Styela clava: one gene and its partners. The protein of the gene in region 1 binds, or shares a complex with, the protein of each later gene. Links are inferred from orthologs where the notes say so. Each region holds a gene or a part of one and is shown on either strand. Other genes may lie near its edges. The genes, in order: cleavage and polyadenylation specificity factor subunit 2-like, cleavage and polyadenylation specificity factor subunit 3-like and cleavage and polyadenylation specificity factor subunit 4-like.

Region 1 (11,284 bases):
CAGGTACTGCAATTCACGTTGAATATTTAATGTCATGGTTTGATATAAGATGCCTGTGTTAAAATGCAAACACAATATATTGTGAAGCTTCAATATAAACCAATATAACATTTAAAATCAAGAATGTTATTTGAATGAAGACCTGATTAATTGCTAGTGTCAAGTCTAATACAACCCTTGGCATGAATCTCTTTTTTAATTTTCCATTATTCCTAAATTGAACTTGAAGATTTACTTTACTTTAAACTTGCTCCAAATACACAATCGCATATGATGCATACTTACTGGTGTTTTATTTTAACACAGTATTTCACTAGGAATTGAGCCATTCATAAACCCAGGCTCGAAAAGACAGTTTGGTAATAGGTTATCCGTTACTGCATTTATACGGCTTCCTCCACCATCATGTCCGTACCTCCGAAAACAAATAACTGGCTAACTAATGCCATACCCAACTTGGACTCGTAACCAGATGAGAGGCCTTAGTTCGCCACATGATCACGCCATCTTATTACCTCTTGTTGGCCCTTATCGGCCCTACCATGTCCGACTGGTGAACCAAATAAAGGCTGTGATTATCTGTATGGTTATTGAGCCAAGATAACTCCTTCTTCACTCCCGATAAAACATGAAAAATCATATAACCTAATCCTCATCACAGTGTTCATTTTTCTTGAATCATACTCGAGTCCCAATGAATTATTCATGCAAGCAAGAAGCAAGCCTGTTTTCTACCTAATTAAATGTGGACTGGAGAGTAATACCCAATGTATCTGTACTATATAGATCACTATATATATAACATAACGGAGCACATACCATAGACTTTGCGAATTCCACAACATTGTATGTTACATTGTTTAACATAGCAAGGGAATAAGCATGTAGGCCTGATCTTGTGTCTCGCCATAACTGATCCTGAATTATGAAAAAATAATTTAATTTTCATAAGGATTTAAAGATGTAAATGTCATGCATGTTGCAAGCAGCATATGGTAGTCAATACAGCTATCCAGATTGGTTGCATTTTTTCCAAACAAAAGACAGTAATACATTGCCTTTGTACAGAAGAAAAAGTAAGCTTCAAATAAATTTTTTCCTCAATGAATCATATTGAGGAATCTAAGTAAATATAGACTATCCAGAACCTTGATTAACAGTGACATCTAGTGGACAAGGTAAACTTTCTGCTGCTGTAAAGGTTATACTCAGTTTTAATATATGTATGCTGGGCAGTAATTGAAATTGTCTATCATACCAATAATATTGCAAGTTCAAGAACTCGTCCTGCAGTGTCAACTGCAATCAACACATTCCCATCTGATCTCATGGTCTCTATAATTTTAGCTGAAAAATAAACAAGAACATAAAGCATTCAGAACCAAGTCATTGTTCATTCCAGAGCAATTTGAAGACCATCAGCGAAAGAAAGGAAAATCTGAGAATATCATATAAAGAAATGTACCAATTTTTACATGAATCCGATATAACACTGAAAGACATCGATAATTTGTCGAAAATGACTGAAGTACATACTTAAAAGTTCCTCATCTCTCAACTTTCTTCTTGCTTGTTGATATGAAGCGTTGTAGGCATCAGTAATAAGAAGTTGAGGAGGGCACACTGAACCAGCTATTCCGCCTCTACCTCCATTGCCACCACTTCCAACTGATTCCAGAAGAGTACAACCTTACAGAAGCGTACAAGATTACAACAAAATTGTAATTACTAGCAAGGATCTACCGTAATTACTTAAATTACTTAAAATTTATTGGATACTCTTATTTTCTCAAAAACAAACAACACAGTCTACAACCTGATATACTTAAATCGGCATGCAATTCATTCATAGTGTAAGTTTATAAAGATTACATACGAGCTGCGACCGACTAAGTCGTAATTTACCATTCAAATGTCTTTCTCTTTTGTGATTGAAATCAACTGCATAAACGATTTCTCCTTCTTCATCAGCTTTGACTATCTTCCATGACGTCCCTCCAATAATATGAGCAGCATGTATGGGGGTTATTGATAAGCCGTGACCTTTATCTAAACCGTACATAGAAATAAAAGTTCTGCATGAACAGTTTCAAGTTTTGGTTTTTTTCATGTTCTCCATAATTATATTTGAGGTGTCTCCAACTGTCACTGAAGGCCCTCACTACTCGAAATTTTGTTCATTTGAAAATTCTACCATTATGTGGACACTATATCAATAATCAATTTTAAAACGGTGATTAATAAACACATATGTTACGTAATTGCACTGATTTACGAATTTGGTGTTCACGTCTCAATTCTAGTTTTGCCACTTGTTTATGGAAGCATACTTTTTGTATTGTAGACTGTAGTCTATGTATTTTAAGAAAATAATCAAAAAATGTATCATTTCAAAATTACCTAATGTGATTACATCATTTATTCAAATGACAGTGACAGAAAGTCCTACATACAACAAGCAACCAAGTAAACAAAAACAATTACCAGTAGTAGTCGGTCACGTTTTTAGTTTCAAAAAGTTTCTACTGTTTTACATCTATGGACTAACAACCATTCAGACAGAGACCAAATCATTGTGTGGAGGAAAAAAAGAACATTCTCATTTACTCAGGCAATTCGATATACGGTACATGTACATTGTGGGGTCATGAACCATTGTTTATCACCGATAAAGACAAATATATCTGGGAATGTTGTGGTATGAAAAGAATATCAAGGCCTTTTTACTGCAAAATTTATTTACACCTCACCTTTCAAAGTTAAAGTTTGGTTATGTTTGAGTTGAGTGATTCTATCAAATGCCATATCAACATCATCCAGTGTAAATTTATCAAATTCTTCGGTGTTGTGATGAGACTGGAAAAACCATTGTTAAATTTACAATAATAACAAATATCCAGCAAATCCCAATCATTATCAAATCTGATTCTCCAGTTGCAAACTTGCATGATAAAATTGAGGAGTGATAAATTATTTCACCCTATCAATGAGGCTATCACAAATAACATAAGTGAAATATATACCAAACAATGGCCTTATTTCTCTCCATTTGGTTCTGAAGAAAACTCAATAATGTTGTACCTAGTATAGTGATGCAGAGCATCAGGAATAATGCTAACAATGGCATTGTTGACTCCCATGAAAATGGCATTTTTGTGGGATAATCTATGAATTCTTAAACGATGTGCAGTTGTGCACCGATTACCTGAACAGGATAAATATAACTTTAGCTATATTTGTTCCCCGACTGACTTCAGCCATTAAATTAAATTTACAACTCTTACAAAGCAATGATGAAGGAATGAGGCAGAAAAATGCAAATCCTCTGTTGCAGAATACCTGATATAAGTCATACATGAACATTTGCCCCATTTTATAGATGGGAACAGTTGCATATATCGGACAAGTCAATCCAACTTTTCCAACAAGATAAGGCAAACAGCCGAGATGTTGAGGATCAGGAAATGAAAGTAAGATAGCATCAATTTGGCTCAAATACCTACAAATAATGAAATGATTATTAATATTGAATACCTCAGCATCCCAAAAAAAGGGTGACAATGTGTTGCCAATGAATTATTGTGCCATCAGCGGTTAAAGATATTGTGTTAATCCCATTACCACCATATGCCCCAAACTTTCATAAATCGATTCACACAGCAGTGGTGCCAATAGAAAAAGGGCTAATATGAGATTCAAATCGAAACCTTTCTAATAAATTCTGTCTGGAGAAGAGATGATCATGGTAATAAAGTTAGCATTGGATCTAGCTGAACCCTAGATATGGATGTACTTGTTATCAGTTGCTAGCCCTGCTAGCTCCCAAAACAGTCGCACAATAGTCGTATATGTGGCTATTCCACAAAAGACAACACTCGTTTTCTTCCACTAAAATGAATGTTTCTCATCCTTGCTATTTTCAAAACAATGAAAAATCAACAAGCTTTCTGTGCTTCAATCATTGAAATCTCATCTTGTGCTTGGCCCAGATTCTTAAATTGGGCCCTCGGTCACCCAAGAGGGCCACAGAGAGGTCATGTGGGGGCAATGAGCAAAGGCCTTTACTAAGTATCATTTGTCATGACTACATTAATTTGAAGTAAATGACTGTGATTTTGTTAATTCTTTGACTACAATGCACTTATTATCCTGGTTGTTGTTTTCATCATTGAACATAGTGAAAAATATTTGTGATGAAAAAACACAGTAAAAGCAAACCTATGTATTCTTATAAAGTGCTGAGAGTGAGAGTTATTGGTGAAGGCCTGAAGGGTCATGAAGTTTGAGAACTACAGGCTTCCTAGTATTGGGAAACATTGCTTTTATTGAAGGGTACTTTTTAATAGCTGTTCGAATAAGACAAATGGTATATTCGCAGGGTAAAAGTAGTCAGCATGACAAACCTCCTCAAAGGGTCAACAAAAATGCTAATGCAATGCATTAAGCGAATAGAGTAGATTCATTTGAATAACTATTTCCCATGATAGCGCACAGTGCTGTAAAACTTCCATACAATTTGGAGGAAAAATGCAAAGCTACCTTTTTATCTTTTTTATAATGCCATCAGAAAACCACTCGTCCCAACCACAGTCCAGCAAAAACGTAAATTCATCAACCTGTTGATATGGAGATAACATGCTTCAGAAACATTTATTACAGATTTGTATTTTTACAAGACTGCTTTCGAGAGAAAAAGTCATTGCTTCTTCTAGAATCCAGTGGTTCCTAAACTTTTTAAGTTAAATGTGTGGAGTCTCATGTCCCATCTCAAAAATAACTAGCTAATAATAATAGGCTACAAATAACAGATCGTAGGCAAAAGTATGTTTTATTCAAAAAACACGTTGAAATTATGTGGATAGAATGTAAATATCCTTCACCTAGCTTCAAGCCCCAAAAAATTATCCCACCGTTTGAGAAGCCCGTTCTAGACGCATTCTCTGTGAAGGCAAAATAATCTAATTACGTTTCAGTGGTCACATCGTTGAACATGAACTTTCAATCTAATTATAAAAAAACTGCTCCTAAAAGACACAGAGAACAAATGAAAAGACAATAACAACAAATCACCTGCAGAAGATAGCAGTTTGGTTCTTCATTTTGAGCACCAGAAAGTGCTGTGAACTTGATTATAGATGTCATATTTTAACAGATTTCATAAATACCATGCCGGTTGAAAAAGTTTAATTCATCTACGTTCAAAAAACAAACAATATATTAATTAAGCACTAATGAAAAGTCAAGAGTTTCTAATATTCAAGTCCAATTTTAAACAAGACATTTGTTAATAACATCATTGAGTGGAACATATATAATCCATACATACATCATATGCAAAATAATTTAACCTCATATTTAGTCAACAGATTGCTCCAATATTAATCTCATTATTCCAGACAGTAATTTCCGATTAAATGTTGTTTTAAAACAATATTATTCAGGAGTGAATATAGAAATTATAAATATTCAAAATTGAAACTAATTTGAAATATGAAAAGAATCAACAACCAATATTCCATGAAACAGCTTTATTTAAATTAGAGGTGTTTCTAATACTTGGAAACATAAAGTTACAACTTACAACAGTCCAAAAATATAACAAAATTCAAAATCCTGGTTTATTTTGACAATATTTCCCTATATTTTTATACTAAATGACTTCGCAATAACATGTGATGTATAAAAATGGTCAGGCATAAGTCATTAACCAACTTTTATAATATCATCGGAAATGAAGGAATATTCTGGAACTTCAAGATTCAATGGTGCTGGCCCTTTTCGAATTCTACCAGACGCATCATAATGAGAACCATGGCATGGACAATAGTAACCACCAAAGTCACCAGCATTGGCAATTGGGACACATCCTAAATGGGTACAAACTCCTATAACAACTAAAAAGTTTTCCTTCTGAGTACGCTCAGCATCGTGCTGTGGATCTCTCAACTCTGCAACATTAACTCCTTTTTCTCTCTCAATTTCATCAGGAGACCGATGGCGAACAAAAAGAGGTTTTCCTCGCCACTTGAAAGTAATGCTTTTTCCTTCAGGAACTTCGGACAATGGGATTTCTATTGATGCAAGAGCAAGAACATCTGCTGAAGCACTCATTGTTTTAAGGAACATAGTTACCGCAGATTTGGCCAAATAAACTCCTCCCATGCACACTCCAGCTGAAATGGCATAATGATATGTCTTGGTTCTGAGCTTCCGTTCATCTTCTGTCTTTCTAAAATCGCTTACATCATCTTTAAGTTTCTGTCGATAGGCACTGAAATCAGGAACTGCAGCATCAGTGTGCGCATATCTTACTGAAGGAGCCCCGAAAATAGAAACAGTTGCCATTGGTACAGCAGAAGGTAGTTTAGTAACTGCTTTCTGGGCAACATCAGGTAGTTGAGCTTTCAATGCTACTGCAGCTGGTAAAGGTCGCATTTGCTTGGTAATAATTTGAATTGTGTGAGATATTCCAGGCATAAAGTTGCCTTTTATCAACAGGGGAAGCATTTTTATATCTTAGAATAAATAAATATATACACAAAACTAAATTTTCAAAGAAATATGTAATATTGAATTGGGGAAATTCACATTCTAACATTGTTTTATTCTATAAGTAACGGTATTCTAGTATTCAGGATCAGCCACTTTTGCCTGACTAAAAACACCTAGATCTGTAGATTGATCTAGAAACATCCAGATTAAAAAATAAAACATCTATTTATGAAGTCATTTAATTTAATGAAAAGTAACCATAAAACAGTAATATTAGATGTCGAAGAAGCTAACATCATAATCTAGAATTCAATTCCCATCTGCAGAACTTACAAAAGACCTTGTTCTTATCATCTGGGGCAAACCATCCCTTACCGTACAGCTGTACAGCCTTAAGTCAAAATTTTCTAAATTTTTGCTGGTAGTGTATAAACTTTGGCATTTTGAAAGATTGATGTTTAAAGAGAGACACATTCAATAGCACTTATAAACTTAATAATTTTAAAACCCCTTGGCAACAATATCATCCGGAAAACGTCTCTTTTCTATTTAACGTTAATTAAAACGTCACATGTTTTAATCATGTTTAATTCGTTATTCAAATATTTTAAGTACATATGGCTGTATGGTACCATACCGGGGGACGAATACAATATGAATGACTTTTATCAATCTTACATCAATACCGGTACCTCTAAATAATGAAATACGGTAATATTCATTCACCTATTAGATAGATAGATAGTTTATTTCGAAAACTCCATAACAAACCTAAATTTAAAATGGAGAATTCTGGAGGGCAAGCAAAACCTACAAAAACGTTTAAAACATGAAGTATCTCATGTGCCTGCCCACCAGCACGCACACAAAAACACAAGCCCAATTAAATGAGGCTTGGGCTACAGTATTATACACATCTCTTTATTTATTTCTCATTGAATAATATTCAAAACTTCGAAAAAAAATCTAGATTTTATAGCTAACATCTAGGCTCCAAATTTTACATCTAGATCTTGAAAAAAACATCTAGATCTAGATCATGTTAGCCGTTGATCTAGATATAAAACATCTAGAGTGGCAGCCCTGGACTCGGTACCCCTGTGCAGTTGTATCGGTTCATGAAAGGTCATGAAGGTAAAGGTCATGAAAGTTGGTAAAACATAATCAGGGGGGGGGGGATCTAATGATATCGATATATATATAGTCATATTATACAATTGTCGTAATAATATGATATAAAACCGAACAAAATTATTATTGCTCATGGAACAATGAAACCTGTATCACCAGAGTAATCAATTCATTATTACTCAATTAATACACGACAACGAAAGAAAACTGCTGGTATAACTGGGCATATGCCCTATATCATATTTCGTGAACTTGCCTATCCCGGTACCACTTTCACGAACGTTCCGGACAAAAGCAAACTCACGTCCGTTCTCACGAGTTTTATGCACTGAAAAAAAAAATCCATGAGTGAGAAAAATGACCCAGCGGATGCATTGTTACGTCACTTTTTGCATCTCGTTGATTGGCCGATGTCACGAAGTAAACAAGGAAGTCGATGCTTGGGGAAACATCCATATAATACTGTATACTGTTGAAAATTGGCACATTAACTTACAGACGCACTCTTCATTGGCTATTTAATACGAAAATAAAACAGGCACAATGGAGAAAGAAAATCATAAGGAGGTCAACTATCGTATCCATGAATATCCTGATTCCGGTGTCAGAAATATTATAATTTCACCCTAAAATTTGGACACTTAATTTACAAACGGTGGCGAGAAAGATCAAAGCCGGCGCAAAATATGAAAATCGGAATAAAATCCCGAATTCACCAACAATAGAATGTCTAGCGTTCTGGATGCCTGTGGTATACAAATTAATAATTCCCGATATTTGACGATTCGTTAAAATTATTTGATTCGATAAAAATATTCTATCCGACAAATTTTGGCAACGGGAGGAAGATATTAAATTTGAAAAAAATTAGGTTGTGCAAAAGTGTGAATACCTGATGATGATATTTTTTTAGGACGGAAACGACATGTGTTTAAATACAGATGAAATTATCGCCTAACCAGGTATCCGCCATCCGTCTGAACCCTGCCTTTTCAGGTGATTTGTAGAATCAAGCTCAGTATGGCTGAAATTCACTATTAATATTATATACCTGTTACTAAATGCGGGGTATGTTGTCTTCATATGAATAAAATTCCCCTTATCTGATCTTCTTTTCTTTAAATTAGTTTATAGCAGAAAGGCTTTATGAGTAGAAAATGTTCATGTTTTGTGATAGGTGTGCCGCGAATATTTAAAGAGCTCAATAGTGTGCCGCGATACGAAAAAAGGCTGGGAACCACTGCACTGATGAGATACAGATAGATTGTATTTCGTTGACTGTTTCGAAAGACGGCTTCAGTTTCTTTCAGGTAACGTGATGAGTAACTCGCCATGGCCGCTAAAAGCCAGTTGTTGGAAGTCGTCCTGTCTCGAACTACTGTGGTAGTTGTTTTTTGGGCAACGTAAAATAGGCCTGGACTAATGTTTACTATTATACAAACAATGGGACAAGCACCCTGCTGTCCTGGCATGAAATCCGGCTCCCCCCAAGTTTCAATAGATAATTAAAATAGGCAGTGTCTTTAATAGCACTAGGGCCTATTTTTGGGGGATATCTTTTATTTTCATTTATCAAAAACAAAATTACAAAGTAGAGAATTACGAGATTTACATATATGGACAATATACAAAATATGAAAACCGGTATCCATTTACCTATAAATACTGTAACCCGTTTTTATTTGAAAGAACTACTAAACATACCGTGTTTCCCTGAAAATAATACAATGTCTTATTTCAATTTTCTCTCAAAAAATAACTCTAGGGCTTATTTTGGGGGGATGTCTTTTATTTTCAATTAGAGAATTTTTAGATTTCCAAATATACAAAATATGAAAACCGATATTCATTTACTTATAAATAACACGTTTTTATTTAATTAAAATACCCACTAAAACATAGATTTTCAATCCTTTAAAACGAGTAGGTAAAATTTCTTGCTATGATATCTACTGTATAAAGCCTTTAGGTATTTTAAAATTGCTTTTCCCGTGTTTGGTTTTGTAATGTTGCTTAAAATAACAGTCTTTCGTGACAGATATTATTTGAAAACACACCAGACACTGTGGTTTAATGTTGTTGTGAGTAAGTAAATACATTGCTGCCACATGGCCAACGCTTGAAAATAATGGAGTGTTTTAAACTAAAAAAAGAAACAAAACGGGTCTCCGAATGAGGAGTTACTTGACGCGAGCGTAAGGCACGAAGTTTCGATAAAAAGCGCGACTCATCTCATCGGCTTGGTTCTGTCTGCACAACACAATTCATTTTCCTTCTACCTATCACAGGACGTCATTCTCATATTGGCACCGTCTTGACGTCTATAGATACAACTTTGAAATTCCGAAATTAAAAATTATTAGAAAATGTTCTGCCAATAAATGCAAATATCTACCAATGGTTTATTGCACGCTGACACTGTTCTGTGGGCTGCAAGGAATGTGTCTGGTTTGGACCACCTTGATTTAAAACGTGTAGTAGAGATTCCTTGCTATCGACTAGGTCAAAAAAGTAAATTCGCTCTATCGACTAGGACAAGGTATTATTTTAAGGACTGGCTTATATTATTTTGAAATTCAAGCTAGGTTTTTTTTTCGGGGAAACACGGTAGTTATATATCATTAAAATGCTGGTTGAAAGACCTGAGTGCCTGAGGAGAAGAAAATATGAACCCTAGCCTGATACACATACAATGTTCAGGTTGTGCGCCATTTAGTACACATACTTCTGGAGCACCTAAATTTCAGAACACAGTTATTATTGAAAGACATTTTAAAATGCTCGAATCGGCCACAAATTGAATATTTTGCGCAATAGAAAAATTATTATCAGCTGAAAACAACGTAGGCGGTATTATCAGCGAGTGTCATGATCTGCTTCACAAATCGTCGCGAGTATTCATTATATAAGTATATTTTACATATTTATTTTGAACTACGCGACGTAACAAAAAAAAATCAAGCGCAGCTGTCTCAAGTTTTGAACACTTTAAAAGATCAACCAAAATTCGAATACGAGAATATCGGTCATAGACCGAAGACTTATCGATCGAAAGTTAGGGGATCCCCCAAAACAGCGCTCTTACTCCACAGTGACACCTTGTGTCCCATCACTAATTATTTAATAACTCGCTAATTATACGACATAATTCGCCCAAAATCAATAGGCTTCTGGTCCGAGATAAGATGAATGCACATGCAACTGTACCAGTAACTGCACTACTACAAAATAAACAACATACAGCAACGTAGCAAACAAAATTATGTAACAATGTAACTAACAAAAGTAGCAATGTACATATAGGGAGATGAATAAAAGTTGTTAATATATGCTTATATATGAGATATCAGTCGCCACTCAACAAAAAAATATAAAAAACACTAATGCGCATATGCATTATATATACTGCTCTATTATCCGGTTAACCGTCACAATAATATCCGGATATCTGATAAGAAAATAACTCACGGTTAACCGGTTATCTGGATAATCCAAGTTCAACCCTAGTTGCCATGTTGGCTTTTTTAACGCTTTTTTTCAAACACGCCTGGCGTCAAAATTTCCGTTTGGCTTTTTTAAATTTATTCTAGTGCAGGGGTCCCCAAGCTTTTTTTAGGGCTACCCCAAAGACAACTTTCAAGTGTCCAGTGCGACCCCAGGT
Region 2 (11,043 bases), about 20 Mb from region 1:
ATTCTATTCGAATTCTTTTAAAAAACCTGGGTGCGCCCCTGCTGTATTTATGTGTAATATAGCAAACACCATGACATGAGGTGAAGATCTAGACCAGGGGTCGGCAACCTTTTGTCGCTCGCAAGCCAAAATAAAGGTTGTAAGTCATTGGCGGGCCGCACATATTTCAAGAAAGTTGAAAAACCGAACGGATGGTACTTTTTATAATAAAAATCAAGCAGCGATACATCTCTCGAATAGAATATAAATTTATTTCCTCATTGCATCTTATGAAATTCCATTTTAATATTTTCAGCGCCATTGAACCCTTTGCACTTAGCCTTAACTTTTCTGTGTTTTGTTGCCATTTGCTTAATTATAATTAAATTATATGCTTATTAAATGAGTAATTGTGAATTGTATATTTGTTAGGTTATAATGTAATTTAGTCTAAAGAATATATTCGTCAAAACTAATGTTTTGTTACTATAATTTAGTGAACCGTCGCGGGCCGGATTATAGTGCTCCGCGGGCCGTAGGTTGCCGACCCCTGATCTAGACACTAAGGTGGAGCACAGCATATGCAAGACATCCACTTACCTAAAATAAGCAGTAATTCTTGAGCTCTACCCAAAGCAAACACAGGTATGAGACATCTACCCCCTCTGTTAACAATATCATGGATTGTCCCTGTAAACCGACTTTCTCTTTCCTCTCGTGGTTCGTGTATATGTGTTCCATATGTTGATTCCTGATGTAAGTTTAGTACATCTTCATAAAAGATACTCAAACAGAACTACAGTTTACTAATTTGCAAATAAATAAGTGGCAAGAAATGTGGAAGCATGGCCTTAAAGAGGTGACCATTTGTGTTAAGTCCTCACTATTTTTAAATTTGATTTTATTATCATCGCATTGTTTCAAATATAGGCTACTCGTTTGTCCGAATTTCGAAAACTGGTTTTTAATCAGCCATTGTAATAGTAGTAGTTCTTCGCCTTTGGGCGAAAACCAGAGTAAATCTTTCATTTTTAAGTCCAATCGATAGCAAATTTTGCAGACAATAACGAAATATGTAAAAAATAATTCAGAACTGACCATAATTAAAACGTCTGGTTTTACAGCGGGTATCTCTGCTGCCATCAAGTGTCTATCTTCTTCTCTCGAAAAATCACCGGTATAAAGAACTTTCACGCCAGCTATTTCAATCATAAACATTGCAGCACCAAGAACATGACCTGAGAAATATATGAATTATGTAAGTTAATTTCAGTCTGAAGAAATGGTTAATCTCACTTAGGAGTTAGGTAGTCAATCACTCATGTTTTGAATAAAATTCTACAACATAAATGAGTCATGGAGAAATAAAGTTGAAGATGGCTATGCAGTCATCTGTGATAATTTCATTTTTAAATTGCATTTTCTAATATTACAAAATGATAAAGATCACATTTATGAAAACTGAGCAGTAACCACAATTGAACTGCATGCCATTACTGGTTTTACATCCAATTTCAAGCAGATACCCTTTCATGCATTCGGCAGAGACGTGAAAGTGATGAGAAAGTTTGTCGGGCTATCTTGGATAAAAAACAGAGATGGGTCAAAGTCCCCAACACTTTTTTAGATAGTAATAAATTATTGAACAGAAAAACTTCCGAGACCATCTCAATATGATGAAGTGGTAATTTATCTTGATTACAGACAGCTAAAAGCCTAAAAGTTTTTTTTTTTTCATTCATTTACATAAACCATTATTCTGACAGAACACAAAACATTACTTATCATTATTGTGTCAGTAACATAATATACTAGAAAAAGTATTGGGCGTAAAAAAAACTTGGCTTCCATCTACCATTCCAAGTTCACATCCAATTCTACCTGCATGATAACACCAGAATTTAATTCCTTCAACAACTTTCTCTTCATGAAAATTAATGGTTTCAATTCTTGACATTGATTCTTCCAAATCACTTTCTGTGTAGAGTTGATTCTCTGTCGATATGTTACTGAAGGAAATACATGATCACATTAATCTTATAATGAGTTAGTTTTTAAATATGAGTTGTCCAAAAAAGAACAGGGTGTCCATAAGATCTCTTTACAATATCCATTTTGTTACGAAGTCAGTTCCCAATATATCTTAACCAGGTATGTTTGTTTTTAATCAGAAATTGTTTAGTTATTTTTACTTCATTGAATACATCTGTGAGGGCCGAAACAATATATGGTATCGATAAATTCCGCTTGCAATTTTAAAACATTTCAAAACTTTTGGACAACTTTCAACAAAGTTGAAAGTGAGTTGAATGACGGTTGCCTCCATGCCACAGAGATAGAAATGATCCAGCTTTCTCTCAATTTTTTTAAATTTCCAGTAATTACCAAAACCGAAAGAAACAACAAGAATTGGCAAATGTAGTATTCTCACATTCTTCCGATATAGTTTTACCAGAAAAATAGAATTAAGTTATCCAAAATATTATTGCCTTGAAGTATAAATATAAAAAGATCAAACCTACCTGACTTTGATATAATCAGAAAGCAACCATCTATAGATAGCTTTTGTAGCATGAGTCATGAACACTCGTCCTTTGAAAGGAGTTTTCTGTAGAAACCATGGTAGACCTCCACAATGGTCAAGATGAAAACTGGATAAAACGGAAAAAAAGGTTAAGATTCTGTCAATAATATTAGACTAGAATAGTGGTTTCTAACTGAGGGCCCCAGAGTAGTCATAGGAGGCCACAATACTATTATGACAAATTGATTTCAATCACATTTCGTTTGCATACTTTTCACTTCAAAAGAAAATACCTTGCTCTTCATAGTTTCATTACCTGAATACTTTTGTAATAGGTTGTACATTATTATTAAACACATTTGTCTTTTTACCCTTTGTTTGATAGATCTACATAATGAAACATAATAGTTTTTTGATATGGTGAACAAGGGGGGCCATGAGTGCTAAAGCCTCCCATACGGGGCCATGACCTAGGTAATATTACCCCAGGACACACAAAAAAAAAGAGACAAATTAAAACAATAAAAATATTGAATTTAATTCTTGGTATATCCCATATTGAAACGCCTTATCTCTTTTTCAAATTAAATGAAAGATGAAACCACTTGACTTTATATACTTGAAATTATTGCCGATTTAATAAACCACATACTAAGGTAAGACATTAAATTCTCTCTTAGGACTTAGGTTTAAATTCAACTCAGAATAAAATTACTTACTGTGTAACAAGCAATAAATCAACTTTATCAGGATCAGAGAAATCAAGATACGGAAGGCCTGCTAATCCACTAATCCCTGGATGAATTCCACAGTCCAGCTGCATAAAATGAAAAGTATTAGTAATGAAGATTAGAACAGACACTAGACAAGCTGTTACGGAATGGGCTACTATTATTGGAATGGGCCAAAATCTTTTCGGCCCAGTTCCATTGCATACTCAATTTATTACACTCATGAATAATAGGCGGTGAGCATGAAAATGGAACTAGATTGAATTATATTTTCTGATGTTTCCACACGTTTCTACCAAAAAATTGAACTAGATTGAACCAGATTGAACTAGACTACAGGGGTGGTGACTCCTCTATGATCCATGGGCCGGAGCCACGGCCCATCTAATTGGGCCACATGAGCTGTGGCCCATCAAGCTATGGGCCGTGGCCCCATCAGGAAAAATTCAATTATCTTACCAAAATTTTCAATTTTTTACAAAATTGTAAATATTCAAAACAAAAAAAAATCGTGGGATGCCACCAAATTTTTTTCTTACGATAAGCCTTTATATAAAAATAAAGCATAATACCAAACTACAGAAAAGGATACTCCTGTAGTATGTGTACCAGGCTAGGGTTAGGACAAAATTTTGTTCAGATTTTTCACATTATAGTTCTATTATGAGTTCGGAGACTGTCTGTGTTAGCCAAGTGAATAGTCCCTTTACATAACTCGATGGGTCGCGGCCCATAGCCTGATGAATTGGGAATAGCATTGAATTGGGCCTCGGCCCCGACCCATGGGCCGTAGAGGAGTCACCACTCCCACTCGAACTAGATTCTACTAAAGAATTGAACTAGATTGAATTCTATTTTCTGATGTTTCCACAAGTTTCTACCAAAACAGCTAAGGCTCCAAGCATGCAGACATTGATACACAAAGATGTCACTATTCTTGGAATCCCAGGAGTCCCTCCCAATCATCCTCCATTATGGGATTCTATACCTTAGAAAAGGTGGAGGAGAATGGGTATGGAAACCAAACAACATTGTTGATCTAAAGTTCTGCTCACTAAACCATCATGCAATACAGCACACTTTGAAGATGGAGCGACATTGTCTCGTTTCAGAGAATCCCATTTTGCGACGAACAGACACCCCTCCCTTTGGGGACGTTTGGACATTGTTGTCCCTCAATGTCGGTAAAAATGCAGTAAAAAGAAGTTGCGTGATAAACTAAAGAGAAGCGCAATCTAATAAACGTAATCATTGAATTCATCGGGAAAAAATAATCCGATTTTTACCATGGCATTCGAGAGTTTTTAGCAAAAAACGGCAACTTTGGTAACTTGATGGCCCTCGATTAATTTAGATTATTATCGAGACAAGCATGGCGCGATATGACGCATCTGCCGTCGTGCCAGACAACCCTCATTTGTGAGACATATGGAGTGTTCGTTTTATTGAACCAAATGACGAAACATTCTTGGAATTTGGGAACTAGGCCCTACTATCATGTCCATCGTATTATAAATTGTTGGCTGAAAAAAAAAAATGGAACGAAAACTTTAAATAGTGCTCAACAACCAAAAAATAAAATCCTTAATAAAAGTCTACCATAATCTTTTTTCCTTTATATTCCATCAAATGACATGATCTCCCAACTTCTTGACCAGACCCACTGAAATTATAAAAAAAAAACGCTAAATCTGTAAATTGAATCATGTTGAACAAAAAATTATCATTTACAATACAGCATATTGCTGAAGTGTAACATCTGAAGATTGCAAAACCAGTACAAAAATCTCAAATTGGTTCCATAGATGCATTGTCAGACATAGAAGAAATGGAGTCGTATATTACTCACAGCGGAGTGATTTTTAATAAATCAGTTTCTTCGGTCTTCTGTCCACTATTCGCCATTTTATCCGTTTATTTCCCTTCGAACGAGGAGACGAATAAGACACGGTTCCGAGAGAATCAGTTACCGTACCAGTACCGGTTCTTTGGGAAATGTGGAGCATGAACTGAGTAGTGACCGGAGATTTCAATTGAATGAAAGTTTTTCACAGAATTGAGAATTTATTTTGACGGGAAAAACGCGAGATATATAATTAATTTGTTCAATTGCAAATACAAATCAGTTTTATGCAATATCGATTCAAATCAAATTCATGCTTACGTACGATATTCATGATTGCCTTTGCGAAAAAATGAAACTTCTTTCTTTCAACTCCAACTTCCACATAAATATACGCATCAATGCATTCATACACCAACAAAATCACGTGACTTTTGGAGGTAACTGAGCTGCATTTGTCGCACACAGTTTCATGTATTCGTTAATTCAATCTTTTGAAACAAACCGGCGAGCTCGAAAAACGTAAATTATAGAAAATGGAAAAGATTCGACCACTCGCGCGTGCTTTTTATCTTGGAACTGTGAGATATAAAAAGGTTAGCATGCCTTTATTATAATCTTACTTACGGCAGTACGGTATCTTTGACATTCAAACATTCTATAGACATTTTAATTTTGTAGGTATCTCCAACGAAAATATTCAAACACAAATAAAAAAAATTAAATATTATACATTCTAGCAGTTTCATAGTTATATGAGACACGGATAATTTGCCCTAACGCAGTCATAGACACCACCCAGCCCTCAGATGTTAAATGTATCTGGTGGCAAAGCTGCAAAATGAGATCATGCATTTCTCCATTTATAATATTTTGATCAACCCCTTTTCATCGATTCATGGAGATTTTACCCTCAATTTTTGAGGAAGTGTGATATTTTGGTATTATGCAATTGAAATCAATGTACTGATGTAATGTCTCATTTATTGCAGGCTTTAAAACTTCAACACAATCTTGTCAATTGGAACAAAGTTCAACCAGAAGTTGCAAGTCCTACTTTACTATTATTACAACACAACCCTGTGTATACGATAGGTAGGTTTTGTTAACTTCAGAAATACTTATGTCTGAGTTCAACTTGAAAAAGAATAATTACACCTAATGTGGAAATGCACATGGATTATTCAACTGTTCAATGCTAACAATATTACACAGGTTACAGAGACAAGCAATACACAGATGAAGAGCAAAAATTACTGGAAAGTCTTGGAGCAGATTTTGTGAAAACTGACAGAGGAGGTAAATTTCAGATAAAAATTAATTGCTTCAGTTAAAAAAGACATTAAGTAGGGAAGGAGTACCAGTGGTCACTTCACCAACTACAATACTATCAAAGTTTTCAAAGATTAAATATTTTGTTACTGAATACACTAAATTATGCTATATTATGCATATTCGAATAGGTACTTCCGAAGTATGTGAATCAAGATGGCGGACACCGGAATGTAGTATGTGTACCCGATTTGGCTATGATTTCAGGTGCAAATACTACGGGAGTCACTTGGCTAGTCCCTGAACTCGTAATAGAACTAAAATAAGGAAAATTGGAATAAAATTATGGCCTAACCCTAACCTGGTAGTCTGGTACACATACTACGTTCCAATGTCTGCCACCCACGAATATAATATATTTAAAATGGCAAGATGATTTTAACTCATTTCTAATGATGCCCTCTGTTAACTATTTTTGATTAACTATCCAGAAATTACAACGGAACATTACCAGGCTCCAAATTTATGGCAGAGTAATATCTCACACAGGTTCTATCATTACTTTATATTTGATATACGGTAGTATATGTCTGTAAAAATTTATCAATTTCAATGCATCACGTCATCACTTTTTCATAGTAAAGTGAATTCAATAATCATTGGAAGATTCCGATATCCAAGGGTATCAAAAGATTATGCTTTACAATATCAAAGAGTTGCAAATGTTTATCCAAGCCCTTCGTACATAAATTGTGATTTACTTTCATTCCTAGGTCTGATAACATTTCATGGGCCAGGTCAGTTAGTTGTTTATCCTGTGTTCAGTCAACTTCAGATAGAAATCGGTGTAAGAAAGTATGTTTGGTTGCTGGAAGAAGTTATCATTAACCTTTGTAAAAAGTAAGGTCATTCATTATATTTCAATATGTTTTGTTATCTGGTTTTGAGTTTCCAAGTGGTAATTTGTGTATAATTGCATATTAGCCACCACACATTGAAATTATTATTTTTGGAACTGAGGTCGGCTAATCATAGCTTGTCATTTCATACACATATTGACTAGAAAGTTTCCAAAAAACCATTTAATCCAACTTTTACCAAAACATCTACCATAAATATTGAGTAACTATTTTTTGGATGATTGTGCAAGAAGATGCAATATTGTGGTATATTATGAATTGATAGTCATTATTTGTTAAGTTCATGGGGCATTTTGCAGAAAATTATCAATGCAAACTTGTTCATGTTTATAATAAGTATTATGGTTTATATGTCACTGTTTGGTACTCCCGGAGTATGTGTACCAGGTTATGGTTAGGCCATAATTTTATTGAACTTGAAGTAAAGTAGGTGAACAAAATTATCCATAACCGTACACATGCTTTTGGAGCGCCCAATGCTTTATAAAGCATAAAGTGGGTGCGCAAGTTCTCTATTTGAATTGAATTTTCCTCTTTCAATAGCAAATCTGAAATGTATTTCCAGGTACAATATAGAAGGAATTCGATCTCCTCACACAGGAGTTTGGGTTGGGAACGATAAAATATGTGCAATGGGTGAGTTCAAGGGTGAGATTTGATAAGTTGATGGGCAGTTTAATTTTAAGACTTTTATTTATCAAAGTTTATTTTATTTTTGTTGTCGAAAAAAATCTAAATTGGGGGAGGGGGGGGGGGGGCTATTCTTAGAAATGTGGAATCGTATAAATATCTTGGTATCCATATTAATAAAATGAATTGCGATATTCAAATATCAAGCATTATTGTTAAATTATCCAAGGGGGTAGGTAGGATAAGGTAACTTAGATAAGTTTTTTTCGACTCCGTCGACTCATCTTAGATAAGGTTTAATGCGTACAGAATATAAGATGGAAGGTATTGCCAAAAAGAAGTTGTATGTGTTCACTCACTTTGCTCGCAGATGTGTTTTATTTATTTCACTGTGAGCTTGCTTGAGATAAGTTATACTTATTAAATTACTTTATTTTCATCAGGTATTAATGCTCAGAAAAAAACATATTCACATGGACTGGCATTAAATTGCAACACAGATATGTTATGGTTTTCACGGATAGTTCCTTGTGGCATCTTAGACAAAGGCGTGACATCTCTAAGCTTGCAAACCGGTAGAGACGTCACAGTTGAAGAAGTCATGCCACTATTTCTTAAAGAAATGTCATCAGTATTCGAATGGGACATTCTACCTCTACAACACTGTGAATTGGACAATAATAATATTGATGACGAGACTTTATTTCAACTAGTAACGAATAAGAAAAAGAATGAAACATATATGGGTGTGAAATCGTGATACAAGCTCTGATATTGAAATTACTCTTTGTTTTTTTTGGTTCCTATATTATTATTACTTTGTTAATATTATGCATTTTGAATAAAAAATTTCAAACATCAAATCGCATACCTTCTTTTGTTCAAGTCGCATACTATTATAAAAAATAAGCCAAATGGGTGATTTCCCTACACCCGCTATTGGGGGTGGACACCCCTCTTAATTTTGAGGTGTGATACCACACTATAATTACTAATTTAAGTATAGTTTTATTTAAATATATAGAATATACTGAGCCAAATAAAACAAATTAGGAAGAAGATGGCGCACAACCTGAACATAGTGTTGTGTACCGGTTAGAATTCAGGTTGTGCGACATCTTGGTACGCATACTTCTGGAGCACCACAAATTATCATATAATTAAGGCTTGGCTGTGTCCTCTGTAGCGACACAAGAGCTTAGAAAATATTGGCCGATATCTAGAGATGGGGTATTCTGTGACTACACTCACTGTCAAAATAAATTCGAAGAAATTCATAATTTGATATCACAACCGATGTAATGAAGTTTAAATCTGCAATGTAACATTATTGCATTTTATGACATCATAATTAGGTCAATTATATGATCCTAGGCTACAGTGTAGATTTGTAACCTGATTTGTGATATTACAAATAGCTTTGTAAAAAAATTGAGAAAGTACAATAAATTTCACGACAGTTGTATTAAAAAACGAGCAACGATATGTACGTCCAATATAAGGTTGAGAAAAGTGGGAGATCGCTGGATGACGTCCAGGTAGGGCCTTTTTGTATTCGTACCGAGAAAAGCCTAATAATAAGCCCTGTTGGTGGAGGAATCTAAACTGAACATCGACTACCGTCCGGCTTTCTTCATAGAGTGATTTCCCGATGTCGCGGACTCGCGCAGGGTAATCGGTGGGGCGATGTCAAGCATGATCCAACGCATGGTGAGCAAACCACCGAGCCGCGTATGATAAATGCACGCACTCCCTCTTTGCACTTGTGGATCGGCAATGTAAGTTGCAGTCATTGCTGGATTCAATGTAAGCAAAGCCGCACAATTCATGTTCCTGGCAGAATTGTTGGCTTTAAACTAATTTGTATCGAACGAGAACTTACGCAATACAAAATCTTACTTTTACGTAGTTCAAGTGGATGGATAAGTATCGATAGCATTGCAGGTGGCACGAACCGGGCACAGATCTTAGGCTCATCGTGGCAAGCGTCTGCACCTCTGATTACCCTGTGTTGGCTCGCAGATTGGAATCCCGTAGCCGTGGCGGATAATTATGTGAGAGAGGATTGCTGGACTACTCGCCGTCGTAGTGTGGCTCACGTATACGTTGGTCGGTTACAACTAATGGACCACCAATCGATTACAATTGTCAGTGCTTAAATAGAACTGTAACGTAATCATCAGAAGGCTATTACTTCTATTGTTTCCCATGGGACCTGATATTTCAACTAAATTTTGCTGTTTCATTTTATTACATGAGAATACTGTTATGGAATATGGAACACTTTATTCCGTCAAGCTTGTCCGCCAATTTTCACTACAGACTCCGCTGCTCAGAGACAGCTATTATCTTACAATAGCAGTACGAATCGCCGCATTTCGTTTCCACATATTTGAACATTGCTCGCACGCTTATCGAATCTAACCACGGGCTTTATTTTCCATACTTTCTGTTCCACTGCACTTGTTGATTTGAAGTGTTTTTCGAGAGCATATGAAACAAAATAAATTCACCTGTCTCCACCGTGACACATTGATATTAATTTGCAGTGAGTATTTCAAGAGCTAAATTCATCAAAATTTGTGAACCGATGAATTATCCTATTTTTATGTTGAATCGAGTCAAGTATGCTGTCAAAAAAAAAAAAATTATTAATTATTCAATTCCCAGAATCTATTCTTAACCCGATGACATGCTGTAATACTAATAAACATGCCCGGACACTTCACAGAAATAACGGAATAAATCATCTGCATCGTCATGGGACAGCTGTTTTACAAATAGTATTAAACATACTTCCAGGTTTGTCAAATTAATTATCGTCTACTCTACTCTATCGAATGTGGCAATAATGCTGCCGCGCACTCATACCCCACGTAATGAATGCGATCACGTCTATGGTGGCCCATCGTTGTCACGCGTAAAATTGAAAATAAAAATAAAAAATAAAATAAAAAACCGATAATAAAAAAATTTTTGTGAAAAAACATAAAAATAATTAAAAAAAAAATAAAAAAAAAAAATTAAAATTAAAAAAAAATAAATAAATGAAAACGAAAAAAAAATTAAAAAAAAAAAAAATTAAAAAAAAAAAATTGAATAAAAAGAAAATAAAAAGGTTGACAACGATGGTCCGCCTCGTGG
Region 3 (11,415 bases), on another chromosome or scaffold:
ATCAATTCTGTTTGAAAGTATGCTTTATGTGACAATGAACCAGTTATATTTCCACACATAAAACCCGTTCTTGAAGTTTGAAATGTTTTAAAAACTACCAAAATTTATTATATTATATTCTTGTTTTGCAAGCCTTTCAAGCTATTTTGTAAAAGAATTTGATCGCCTATGGCATATATTCTAAATCTAAGTACATACATGACTGTATATTCACCAGCTTGACAACTTTGAGTGATCATTTCATACGATGAAGGTTCTAAGAAAGTTTCTTTTTATCTATTGATCATAGTTCCACTGAACCACATACGAACTGTATATGGAGGTGCCATAATGACGACAGCAATACCGACAGCGTAGTCTAGATATGTCACTTAATAATTATGAGGGTAGAGCAGCTTCTCAGTTGTCAACGAATCGTTTATCCCCCACTCCATCAAGGAGAAAGCTCGATAATTTCGAATTTTTTCCCTCCTTAATATGGAAGCAGGTATAATTCTTAGTCTACAATTCTAGATGAGCCATCACCAATGTCCTAACTTTTATGACAAGCAATGAATACACCTATAGTCGATTTATGCGAATGTCATTCATCAAGTTAGTTCAAAACAAATGAATTCCAAACTGTAAGTCAGAGCAATATCTATATATTACAATCAGTAATATCGATCTTCCATGTATTCGGATCCGATGGTTATTCAAATTTTCAAGCATTTGAACTGACTGATGAAATGAAAAGCATATTGTGAAGCACAAGTATATATAACATCAGCAATTTCCTGATTATTGAAAAGAATGTCGAAACTAAAAGGTGGTAGGTACATGCATTGCTTTCAAACCTCGAATGAATATTTAAAATCGGTGTAATTCAGTTAAAATGCTGTATTGTTTTATTTATGTCATTTCTAAAGCTAACGTAACAATGTTATTGTGGATAACAAGTAACAGAAATGTTACCTAATAAACCCTAATAAATGTTCCACTTATTTAAAGTGGTTGCCGTTTGGTCAGAAAATATTCAAGTTGTTCAAGTCAAGCTGTATTAATTTTATCTAATTCTCCATCTCGTGCTATGAAAGAAAGCAAAAATATGCATTTCAAAAGATATATATTAATCGTGAAATCTTGTGATTACATACATTAAGTGCTTCAAAATGTATTCTGAAATATACGATATATATATATATTATATATCATAACGAAGATTTGGTGAAAGCACTTCATTCACCCAAGCGGTATTCCGAGTTCGGGTCCGCATTCACAATATGGAATCTGAAAGTGAGAAATGAGAAAAAATTCTTAGGCTGTAGATCTAAATTGAATCGAACTTGGATAAATATTTAAATTGGTTTTGGATTAACACGCTGCACATCATTTTGGGATGACTTCTTGTCGACTTTTCTGTTTTATTAGAATTTAACGGTGTATATCGAGTTCGTAACTATATTACAAAATGATAATTTTTGCTTTAATACAGGCGTTAAAGATAAATGACTTGAGATGTTGCCAAGATACTAGACGCGAAAGAACATCATAAAAAGTAAATAAAACTACTTACCGTGTAGACAAACAGGGAATACGGAACTTGTACACATTTGTATGTACTTTGGCAAGTGTTTGTGTTGGTGCATCCGTTAGGGTAATTTCCGGATCTTTGATTTAAAATATAAGAGGTTAAGATTTAGATCTACTCTATAATGTTGATTCATATTAGCTTTATATTCAGCTGGATTTTCACAACTGTTATAACATTAATGAAATATGTATAATTATAAGTATGTTTCAACGTGGGCGGCTTATTTTAATTTAATATAATTATGCATAGTTCATTCTCATAATAAGGTTTTTTCATGCGATTGCGTTGATGTCGCCACAACTTTGTGGGAATTTATGTAGTCACAATATTTTGTGTATCAGTATGAAAAATAAGCAAAGGTATATTTTGTCAACTATATAGCCATATAGTTGATATGCATTCATACTGACCTGCAATTGTACCCATAGACAATGTAGGGGCATGGCTGATCGGGTATCGGGATAGGAACGTAACATTTTTCATATGTACAGGAGGATGGAGGAGAGAGACTAACATGCAACATGTCACAGCGAACCTCTCTGTCAAATAGCCTGAAAAATATAATAAATATTCACTAATATAAAAATATATCGAGAATAAAATCAAGCTATGAAAGTGCTGTCATCAAAACCAATTCTTGATTCTGTAGTTTATTACACATATATGCTAAAATGTACTCACGAGTATTGATCATAATCGCATATTGGTGGATATGGATCTGGCGATGGACATGGCTGAAATGAAGGTTAAAACGGTAAAAGCATGAAAAGAACACAACGACTTTTTGAAGTTTTAGATAGAGACAGACAGATAGATCGATGCTCAAATTCATGTTTTTCATATAATTAATATTACTTCATATTATTAATTTGATAATTTGTGTGGGATTCCTCGAGGTTGTGGTAAAGAAACTCAAACAAACATTTGACAACGATCCAGCAAATAAGTAAGTACTTGTCACAATAGGTTTAATTTTCTCTGATTTTAAATAAATTAATAATTTGTTTAGATGATAAAATGTAAGCTTACCAAGTGCTGTTGGGCAACATCGGGGATTTGTGCGAACGTTTTGCAGATTAAAGCCGCAATGATAAGGCAGAGTGCGTATGATGTTTCCATTTTTGCTGCCAATCAATGACGTCGATCATAGGCCGTAGTTGTAGATGTAGAACGTCAACTTGTGTCAGTGTAGAAGAGACTTGACAACTGAACAAGTCTCGTGGTATTTATAGGTTTTTGAATAGGAGAGTTTTACTCTCGAAACTGTGATACCATCGTCTATTGGTCGAAATTTCTAAACATATTTTCATTACTGTAATTTAAAAGATAACCATTTTACAAATTACCACATTAAATTGAGTCCGTACAAATCATTTTTAAACATAACCAAGCATGATAAATTTACCATGGATATGAACCTCCAACTGTGGTCCTGTAGCAGATGCAAAAATGGCTTTCTATGATACTAAGAATTAAACGAAAAAAATAATACGTGCCATGTTTTGGAAGAGTTCCTGATCCTAATCTTGGAAAAGTTCCCCATCATAATTTAACTCGAATTACGTAAAGATCAACGTACAACGTTTGAAAATTACTTGAAATATATACTTGTTATTCCAAAAACATCATACAGATATCTATTATTTTTGATTTATCGTTTATTTATACCGTTTTCTCTCATTGGTGAACTGGGATCGTAAATAAGTTTCGACAACTCAGCTGTTTATACAAAAAAGTAAAATATAAATATACAGTATTAAATAAAAACATTTATGTTCTATAATCAACAACTTTTAGCAAAAAAATTTTCCAAAAGTTTTAAAATTGATATTACTTTAATTTTTGAGCTCTTTTGAAAATTGAAATTCTGCAAAAAAGTATTACGTAGCCTTATCATGATTACTAAGGAGGATCAAAGTTAACAGCCAGTAGAATATTCAACCTCATCTGCAAAATCATAAAAGAAGATAATCAATCCTTCAATGTCGAGATTTCGATTTTTATTTTAAAAAGACATGGCGATTGGAACATAGCTCAAGTACAAATGTGGCCAATATTTTTAGAAAATAAGCCATAGTTGAAACGATTCGTATGAATGTATAAAAATTCCATGGAATCAAAGCATATCAAAAAAAAATATAGATGTCATTAGATATGAAAATAAATAAATACAGTTTGAATTTGCCCGCTCAGAAACAATATGGATAAAAAATGACTATACTTAATATAATATTGAATATATAATAATATTTATTATTATTATTATAAAATAAACAAGATTAAGCTCGTGGAAACTACCTAGGTTTGATAGATGATGATAAAGTTAACCCAATCACACTATAGAGGGATCAATAATAAATACCGTTAATTTTAAAAACATGTTCGCAATACAAAAATTTCGTCCTTTTTCGTCACGACAGGTTTGTGCGACATTTCGCGATGGCTCCGACAATAGACAGAAATATCAGAAAATTTCCTGCCCGAGGCATCATTGGCTAAACTCCATTTGTCATTTTTTCAATTCTTGAATTTTCTTTAAATAATATAGATGTATTCGATGTTGAATGTTAATTAACTGAATGATTATAATTAGATTTGACTATTAAAAATACCTCGAACCATACAACAAGGAAAGAATGTTTGCAAAAAAACATGTGATATAGGGTTTTGTTTTTTATCAATTCTAAAAAGAAACATCGTGTTTTAAAACAAGGGCTTGTTTTAAATCAAATTTTTTCTGTATTTTTTATTGAAATACCCCTTGCATCGCCCCGAAACTACGCCAAAACGTTGCGTTCGGGCAGCTGTACACGCGGCCGGAATTATAATTTTAAAAATGTAAGTAAAAATTCCTATTTTGACTTTTACTTCTATTGCGTACATTTATCGCGACTTTCGTATCTCCAAAAAAGTCATAAGATTTTAACCGGAATGTTTATCCGAGATATCAAAGAGACGTTTTGAGTAAGAAAAATCATGAAAATTAGCTCACAAGCCTACTACAAAATCAATTAGAGGAATCGCAGCCTTCGGCAAAACGAGTGGGTTGCGATAATGAATAATATGATTACATCGACGGCGGATGAGACACGCTAGTCTGGCCTATGTTAATCGTAAGAGTCCTCTGATGCAAGGCGACTCAAGTAATCTGTTATGATGTGGATTTCGAGTTCATGTATTGACATTTTTTCTCATAAAATGAAGGCATTATTATATTTAACACTGTCCGGTTAATTTATGCTTAGCAAGCTTTGTTTTTAAGGTTGAAGTGATAGAGTTTTTCAAGATTATACAAACTCATTTATTCGATCGCATTTCAATTTTCGCAAGGTGGTTTTGTCGCAGGGTCGTTTACGACTACGTAACGGTGTTACGTTATCGGTTGCGTCTTACTGCGCCAACCACTGAGTTACAACATGAGAAGGTGTGCATGATCCTCTATCGTTATTTGTGGCGTTTTGAAGAATTTTTTGCAAATAAGAGGCGCTTGGCAAGTTTTTACATTCATTTTTCTTCAACCTATTTAATACGAAAAAATAAAATAGTACAGCCATTTTAAACAAAGCAGGCAAAAAAAACTCGATTTAAAACAATTGTTTTAAAACAATTCTTTTGGAACAAATCCTTAGATATAACCAAATAGTAAAATCAGCAGAATTAAAATATAAGAATATAATTGTTCAGAAATCAAGCTGATGATTATAAATATATGTCTCATTTTATTTGGACAATCCCAACCCATCATCACAGTTTTGTGCCAATCGTATGAAAACTAAAATGTACCGAATATTTCGTTAATTATTAACAGGAGGCGTCAAATTATTGTATTAAAATAAATTGTACTTGACTCGGACCAGTGTTAGTAAATTTTCGGCCTGAGGCTATATTGAAAGGAAGTTGATTTTTTTGGTTGTATAACTTGTATAAGTAAAATAATACGAAATTGTATTTTTTTCAATTCAAGTCAAATCGGCATCGTTGAAAGTAAACATAACCTGCGTCGTACTTCAAGCCATAAAGAAATCTCAAAAATTGCCAAAGCTACTATATATATATATATATATATATATATATACAATAGAGGTTACCAAAATGCCTGATCACGATGGATTAATATACCTTGAGATATTTGTTATATATATATATATATATATATATATAGCTTTATAAATAAAATTTTCACGCCTCCAGAAGTATGCGCTTCAAGATGGCGCACAATTGAACATAGTGTGTGTGTACCGGTTAGAAGTCAGGTTGTGCGACATCTTGGTGCGCATACTTCTGGAGCACCAAATTTTCTTTGTTTTGTCATTTCTATGTTTTCTTTTTTGTAATAATATCATGGCTCGGAAATGAAGTCGTTTGGGAAAAATATTTCCTCATATTTTATTTCTGATGTATATATATATACAAAATTCATTGACAAGATACAGCATTGAAAATTATTTTGCCAACGATTATTACTCGATGTCAACTAAATCGATATATCTGACATGGGAAATTCAATAAATATTTAAGTGAATATAAAATGTTTCATCAATACTCTATTCATTTTCCTATCAAGCTAAATCAATAAAACAATCGATATTTTCTTATTTGATGAAGAATCGCCACTTAATCTCCTAGTATCATTATTAAAAAAGTAGCGAGGTTCATCCTATTTTAGTATTTTCAATCAAGGCAGGATCGGAAGGAAACATGATATGAATATATTTAGTGTTGCAATGTTGCATACTTGCTAAGATGATATTTATTTGAAATAAGCAGCTTCAGTTAATAACGTGTAGTGTAAGTAACGTTATTGTTTTTTGCTTATTACGTGGATGGTCGACGCATCAATTGGAGTGTCCAAAACGCTGTAATAGTGTTGACCAGCAGTTTGGAGAATGGTAAAAAGACAAAGGAGAATTTATAAATAAAGTATGTCTTAGAAATTAGCAGATCGTCTAAACTAAACTCTTAAGTAAACGTTAGACAAATAATATATTGGAAGATATACAAGTATATATATATATATACCAAGCTATACCAAAGAGTTTAAATCTTGTCATTGTTTTATCAGTTGCTCCATCTGAATAACTGTTCAAATTGGCAGCAATTTAAATTTAGTTTAGAATTCGCTTTCAAACATGCAGCGGGCTCGTTCAACATGGCGAACTGATTTCTATCTAGAGTCTTTCCACTGGGATAATTTATATTACGGCTGTTCCCGTACGCCTTCGAACCAGAATCACACTGACTACATACAAAAATCTTTGGACAACAGAGGTTCGTATATATTGATTTTTAAAACTCAAAAAACAACACTGATTAAAATTCACCTATGTGTTGGAGATTTTACCAACTATTTTGTCTAACCAGCCAACATTCAGGGTGGTGAACCTAGTGTATAGTTTGTTGTCAAAAATTCATTGCCCTAACTAAGCAGATACCCAAGTCTTACACTAGCAATCAAACGTAGCGTTATGTGCGCTTGTAATCAAAGATTTTGTACCCTGATATAACACGATACACACATTTTTGTATCACCCGAAATTCATACTCATTAAAATATACGAACAACATTTGCGACGACCCTTTAACAATTAGATAAATAAAATAATACGGATACATCATCTTACCCAAAAATGTAGTTTAGTTCATAGGTTCTCAAAGTGCTCCATAGAGATCCCCAGGGCTCCAAGAGAGAAACCTTATAATACGAATACATCATCCTACCCAAAAATGCAGTTTAGTTATTAGGTTTACAAAGTGCTCCATAGAGATTCCCAGGGCTCCGAGAGAGAAACCTTCTTGAACTATCTCTTTACTTATTGAAATACGGACTTGGCTGGTTTTGTTACTGTCAAAGCAATTACGCCATTAATTAATAAAATTTGACAACGGCACGAATGGTACTGGTAAACGTAAATGGGGTAGCATTTTCACCCGAGTATTTTATATTGACTCCGTGCACGTACATTCGCAGCGCGTGTTTTTAGGTCACTGCGGTGGTGTAATAGCTACGGTATTCTTGCAGATAGATTGCACTTTTCCCCCATTCGAGTTTATAAAGTTCATGGTTACGCGGTGACAGATCGGTCCAGTAGGTAAAGAATATCAACATGAGTTTAATGCCACGGACAACGGGAATTGGTAGCAAAATATCGCGTTGTTATAAAAATTTTGGAAAATGTTTGTTTTCTTCAGAAAGTCAAGAAAACCATCCCAACACACCAAAAGGACGTCTGGACGACGTACAGAAAGGTGTGAAACACGAAAAGACCCAAGAAAATCTAAATAATTCTCAAATCCCCAAGGGTAGGCAAGACTAACAGAATAGTTTTACTGTTTTTATTATGCCTATGCATTCCTCATTTAACCTTCTTGTTTCAGTGTTTATTGAAACACCATCCAGCCATCTTGCAGTCTTGTTCCGTATCCTAGCCATGTCGCTTGATAGTTTGTTTTTAACAATGACTGAACGATGCATGACCTAAAACATTAAATTACTTAGGTGTAATCACTGTAATGTACTAGCCTATCATGGTATCAGGATGCTTACAAGTTTATACCTTAATTTTGTACCGCTGTATCTCGTCTTGCTTTTCAGTCCTATAGACTGCTATATCTCAACTCACAAGGTGAGATTGCCTGTGCCATAGGCCTATGTTTAAACCTCATTTCAGCATTTTGGGTTTTTGCTGTTAGTCTGTCGCTACAAAGCTCCCAACACTGTAGCATAATGGCATTCTAGAATCCAAATTCATGTCATTTGCAGTTAATCTATTCTATAAACAAAGCTTAGTCAACTATGTCTATTTAGTTGTAAACATCCTATGCATTTTCTCAATTTGAGATTTTTCCACAGATAATATAAATCCATACACTGGGGAAATTGGTGGACCGGCAGGGCCCGAGCCAACAAGATATGGTGATTGGGAGAGGAGAGGAAGAGTGACAGACTTTTAGACTCTTTCATTTTCTACCTTGTTCAATTGTTTTGTGTTAAATATCATTTTTAATTATGATAAAATTTACAAAATAGACATGTAATATTAAACTTTTAATGCACTGTGGAATCTTGACTAAATATATAGTTTGTTATGTATTATATACTATAAATCTAAATACCTTTTAATGATCAATTTTGATATTCAAAATTGGTCTACTATAATGATTATTTACAAATCTAAAGTGAATAAATGTTGCTCTACTCCATGGCAACTTTGCAAACAGTAATTACAATAAAGATTATTTGAAATTCGTATATTTTTGGTCACTATGGACTAATAGTGCTCGACTTGAGTCTGTTGGCATTGCTAGTTAATCTCTGGCCCATTTTCCATACCCACCACCTCACCAACTGTGTAAGAAAGTGGGTAAGCAATGCTGAAAGAAAAAGATTCTATATGAACATAGTAGCTTACATATTAGTTGGACATCTTTGGAGTGAAAATTGTTGTTTCTGTGTTGGGCATAATTTAAAATTAACTGACCAATAACGCTTGGAAATTAATATACCTTGTCATTTCACTGATGTGACTGTATTGATTTCTTCGAGACTTGCTGGTAAGGCTGACCAGGAGGTTTCATATTCCTATTTTGCTTAATAATTGTATTATTTTTGGGTGCATCCTAATAGCAAAGAATTTGAATTATTTTTGTTTATTTAAACCAGGTCTATAGCTTTGCTAAAATCAACCATTATCAAAATTTTCAAATATATATTGTGTATGTTTGTAAAATATTTACAGACCCTTGGATAATTTGTATTTGATGTATGTGCAGGCTAGTTTAGATGGTCATATTGATAACATGTTTTATTTTTACATAAACTGTTACTCTGAAAGCTCTTGATCAGTAATATTATGCAGGCAATAGTTGCTGATGTTAATAATGTTGTATTTGATATGGAAGTTGCAATGGAACAACAACTGGGAGTTCAGCCCCTGCCTTTTCCTGGAATGGATAAGTCTGGGGCATCTGTGTGTCATTTTTTCAAGCAAAATGTCTGTGCGAGAGGTGTAAACTGCCCATTTCGTCATGTTTTGGGTGACAAAGCAGTTGTTTGCAAACATTGGCTTCGTGGGTTATGCAAAAAGGGAGATCAATGTGAGTTTTTACATGAGTATGATATGAGCAAAATGCCTGAGTGCTATTTCTACTCAAAATTTGGCCGATGTGACAACAAGGATTGTCAATATCAGCATATTGACCCTGCTAGTAAAATAAAGGATTGCCCTTGGTATGATAGGGGCTTTTGTAAACATGGCCCTCACTGCAGCAAGAGGCATAAAAGAAGGGTTATGTGTATAAACTATCTTATTGGATTCTGCCCTGATGGGAAAAAATGTAAATATACCCATCCAACATGGGATCTTCCCACTGTGGAACCGAAAGGTGCAAAATGTCACATATGTGGAGAATTTGGGCATAAAGTGGCAACTTGTCCACAAAATCCATATCGAACCTCTGAAGCTGATACTAACAAAAGCATGCCTAATGGAATCCATGCCACCACACCACAGTTTGGTGGGCTTGTGCTTCACATAACTCGACCAAACATGACTCCATCCATACCCATGCCATCATCGAATCTTGGTGCAGGAATACTAGGTGCGATGCCGAACACATCTCTAACTGGCTTGTCACCAACGTCTGTTCCTCGTATGAGACCCATGAGGGATTTATCAAGAGTCACTTGTTTCAAGTGCGGGAAGAAAGGACATTACGCTAATCGTTGTAATGAAATTGCTTCATTTCCAATGCCATTCTTGTCTAAACCAGCAACTTGAAGGAGTTTTTGATTGTAGAATTCTTTGAACTTGTGCTGTGGTTTCAAGTCCAAATGATTGCTTGAAAGAGTGAAGCAGATATAATTTCAGCGCCATGAGACTATATTCAAAACAACATTCACATGCCTTGGTGTATGTATTCCCATGAAAAAGCAAGATTTCTTTGGGTAGCACACACAGCTTACATTAAACCAGTCTATTTCATAAGGAACACAATTTCATGCTTGTTTGGCTTGGTTGTCATATGGAAAACATTGGTAATAAATACACATCACTGAATTGAGTTAATCCACAAAACTTATCTTGCACTGTGCAATTGCCGGAGTTATCCTAACATCTCCGTATATAATTTGAACTGCCTTCAGTATTGCTGTGCTTATACTTATTTTATAGTGATCGGACGGTCCATTGGCACAAAATTAACTTATTGATTACTTCCATAAATTGTTCTTGAAAAATGATTTTCTCTACTGCGAACATCGCTTTCTATCATTCATAAGTTGTTCAATGTTTAATAACCTCTTTTCAGTGGCTTCGTAGCTTTCAAGTATCATTTCTTTCGGTAAATGCTCGTGACTTCACCAAATGTTAGGAAAATCTGGAAAAGTGTGGGGCTTATTCAAGTTCAAACTCCTCTCTAACAAATCCCTGGTAATGATTGTTTACATCTATGAATTTCTGTTGTATTAAACGAATATGTATTTCTCTATCTTGTTTGAACAATCTTTAAATACAATATACAAAAATGCGAGTAAAGAGTAATTGTCAACTGGACTTGGTCGTTAGAAAAATTAGTCAAGAGTACAGGTAGTTCAGATTTCCTATTTTTTTCCTTACATGCTAATGTAATTTTACTAGAATCGACGGATACACATAACAAACCAGAAACATTGACATGTCCTCGAATAAATGTTTAAAAGCGTTGGCAATGGCTCTGCCCGCTATTTTAAACAATAGAAATGACCCCAAATTCGTGTTTTGGCATGGTACAACCTGAATAGCTGAGGCCATGAACAATTAAACAGTTTTGTGTGTCATTGACGGATGAACTCACGCCAGCGCTAA

Evidence for each region.
Region 2: cleavage and polyadenylation specificity factor subunit 2-like (region 1) and cleavage and polyadenylation specificity factor subunit 3-like share a complex: the UniProt entries of both Drosophila melanogaster proteins name them as parts of the cleavage and polyadenylation specificity factor (CPSF) complex. The link is inferred for Styela clava from reciprocal best matches to the Drosophila melanogaster genes Cpsf100 and Cpsf73.
Region 3: cleavage and polyadenylation specificity factor subunit 2-like (region 1) and cleavage and polyadenylation specificity factor subunit 4-like share a complex: the UniProt entries of both Drosophila melanogaster proteins name them as parts of the cleavage and polyadenylation specificity factor (CPSF) complex. The link is inferred for Styela clava from reciprocal best matches to the Drosophila melanogaster genes Cpsf100 and Clp.

The regions. Positions count from the first base shown.
Region 1 is NC_135251.1:30,701,127-30,712,410, reverse strand, and holds the start of cleavage and polyadenylation specificity factor subunit 2-like, read right to left. Parts: upstream 5,195-11,284; 5' UTR 5,143-5,194; coding exon 5,071-5,142; intron 4,617-5,070; coding exon 4,540-4,616; intron 3,500-4,539; coding exon 3,340-3,499; intron 2,857-3,339; coding exon 2,751-2,856; intron 2,050-2,750; coding exon 1,906-2,049; intron 1,690-1,905; coding exon 1,537-1,689; intron 1,348-1,536; coding exon 1,259-1,347; intron 919-1,258; coding exon 820-918; intron 1-819. Other genes in the region: cytochrome b-c1 complex subunit Rieske, mitochondrial-like, read right to left, coding at 5,704-6,507. UniProt on the Drosophila melanogaster protein: Component of the cleavage and polyadenylation specificity factor (CPSF) complex that plays a key role in pre-mRNA 3'-end formation, recognizing the AAUAAA signal sequence and interacting with poly(A) polymerase and other factors to bring about cleavage and poly(A) addition.
Region 2 is NC_135251.1:10,435,601-10,446,643, reverse strand, and holds the start of cleavage and polyadenylation specificity factor subunit 3-like, read right to left. Parts: upstream 5,226-11,043; 5' UTR 5,140-5,225; coding exon 5,084-5,139; intron 4,898-5,083; coding exon 4,834-4,897; intron 3,321-4,833; coding exon 3,223-3,320; intron 2,631-3,222; coding exon 2,502-2,630; intron 1,989-2,501; coding exon 1,861-1,988; intron 1,218-1,860; coding exon 1,078-1,217; intron 731-1,077; coding exon 580-730; intron 1-579. Other genes in the region: octanoyl-[acyl-carrier-protein]:protein N-octanoyltransferase LIPT2, mitochondrial-like, read left to right, coding at 5,614-5,673, 6,070-6,172, 6,293-6,376, 7,123-7,249, 7,835-7,905, 8,343-8,659. UniProt on the Drosophila melanogaster protein: Component of the cleavage and polyadenylation specificity factor (CPSF) complex that plays a key role in pre-mRNA 3'-end formation, recognizing the AAUAAA signal sequence and interacting with poly(A) polymerase and other factors to bring about cleavage and poly(A) addition.
Region 3 is NC_135257.1:6,092,227-6,103,641, forward strand, and holds cleavage and polyadenylation specificity factor subunit 4-like, read left to right. Parts: upstream 1-6,284; 5' UTR 6,285-6,462; intron 6,463-6,635; exon of another isoform or gene 6,636-6,745; 5' UTR 6,746-6,841; intron 6,842-7,440; exon of another isoform or gene 7,441-7,762; 5' UTR 7,763-7,873; intron 7,874-8,423; 5' UTR 8,424-9,423; coding exon 9,424-10,350; 3' UTR 10,351-11,128; downstream 11,129-11,415. Other genes in the region: uncharacterized protein LOC120346153, read right to left, coding at 1,222-1,269, 1,556-1,649, 1,984-2,124, 2,255-2,307, 2,603-2,692. UniProt on the Drosophila melanogaster protein: Component of the cleavage and polyadenylation specificity factor (CPSF) complex that plays a key role in pre-mRNA 3'-end formation, recognizing the AAUAAA signal sequence and interacting with poly(A) polymerase and other factors to bring about cleavage and poly(A) addition.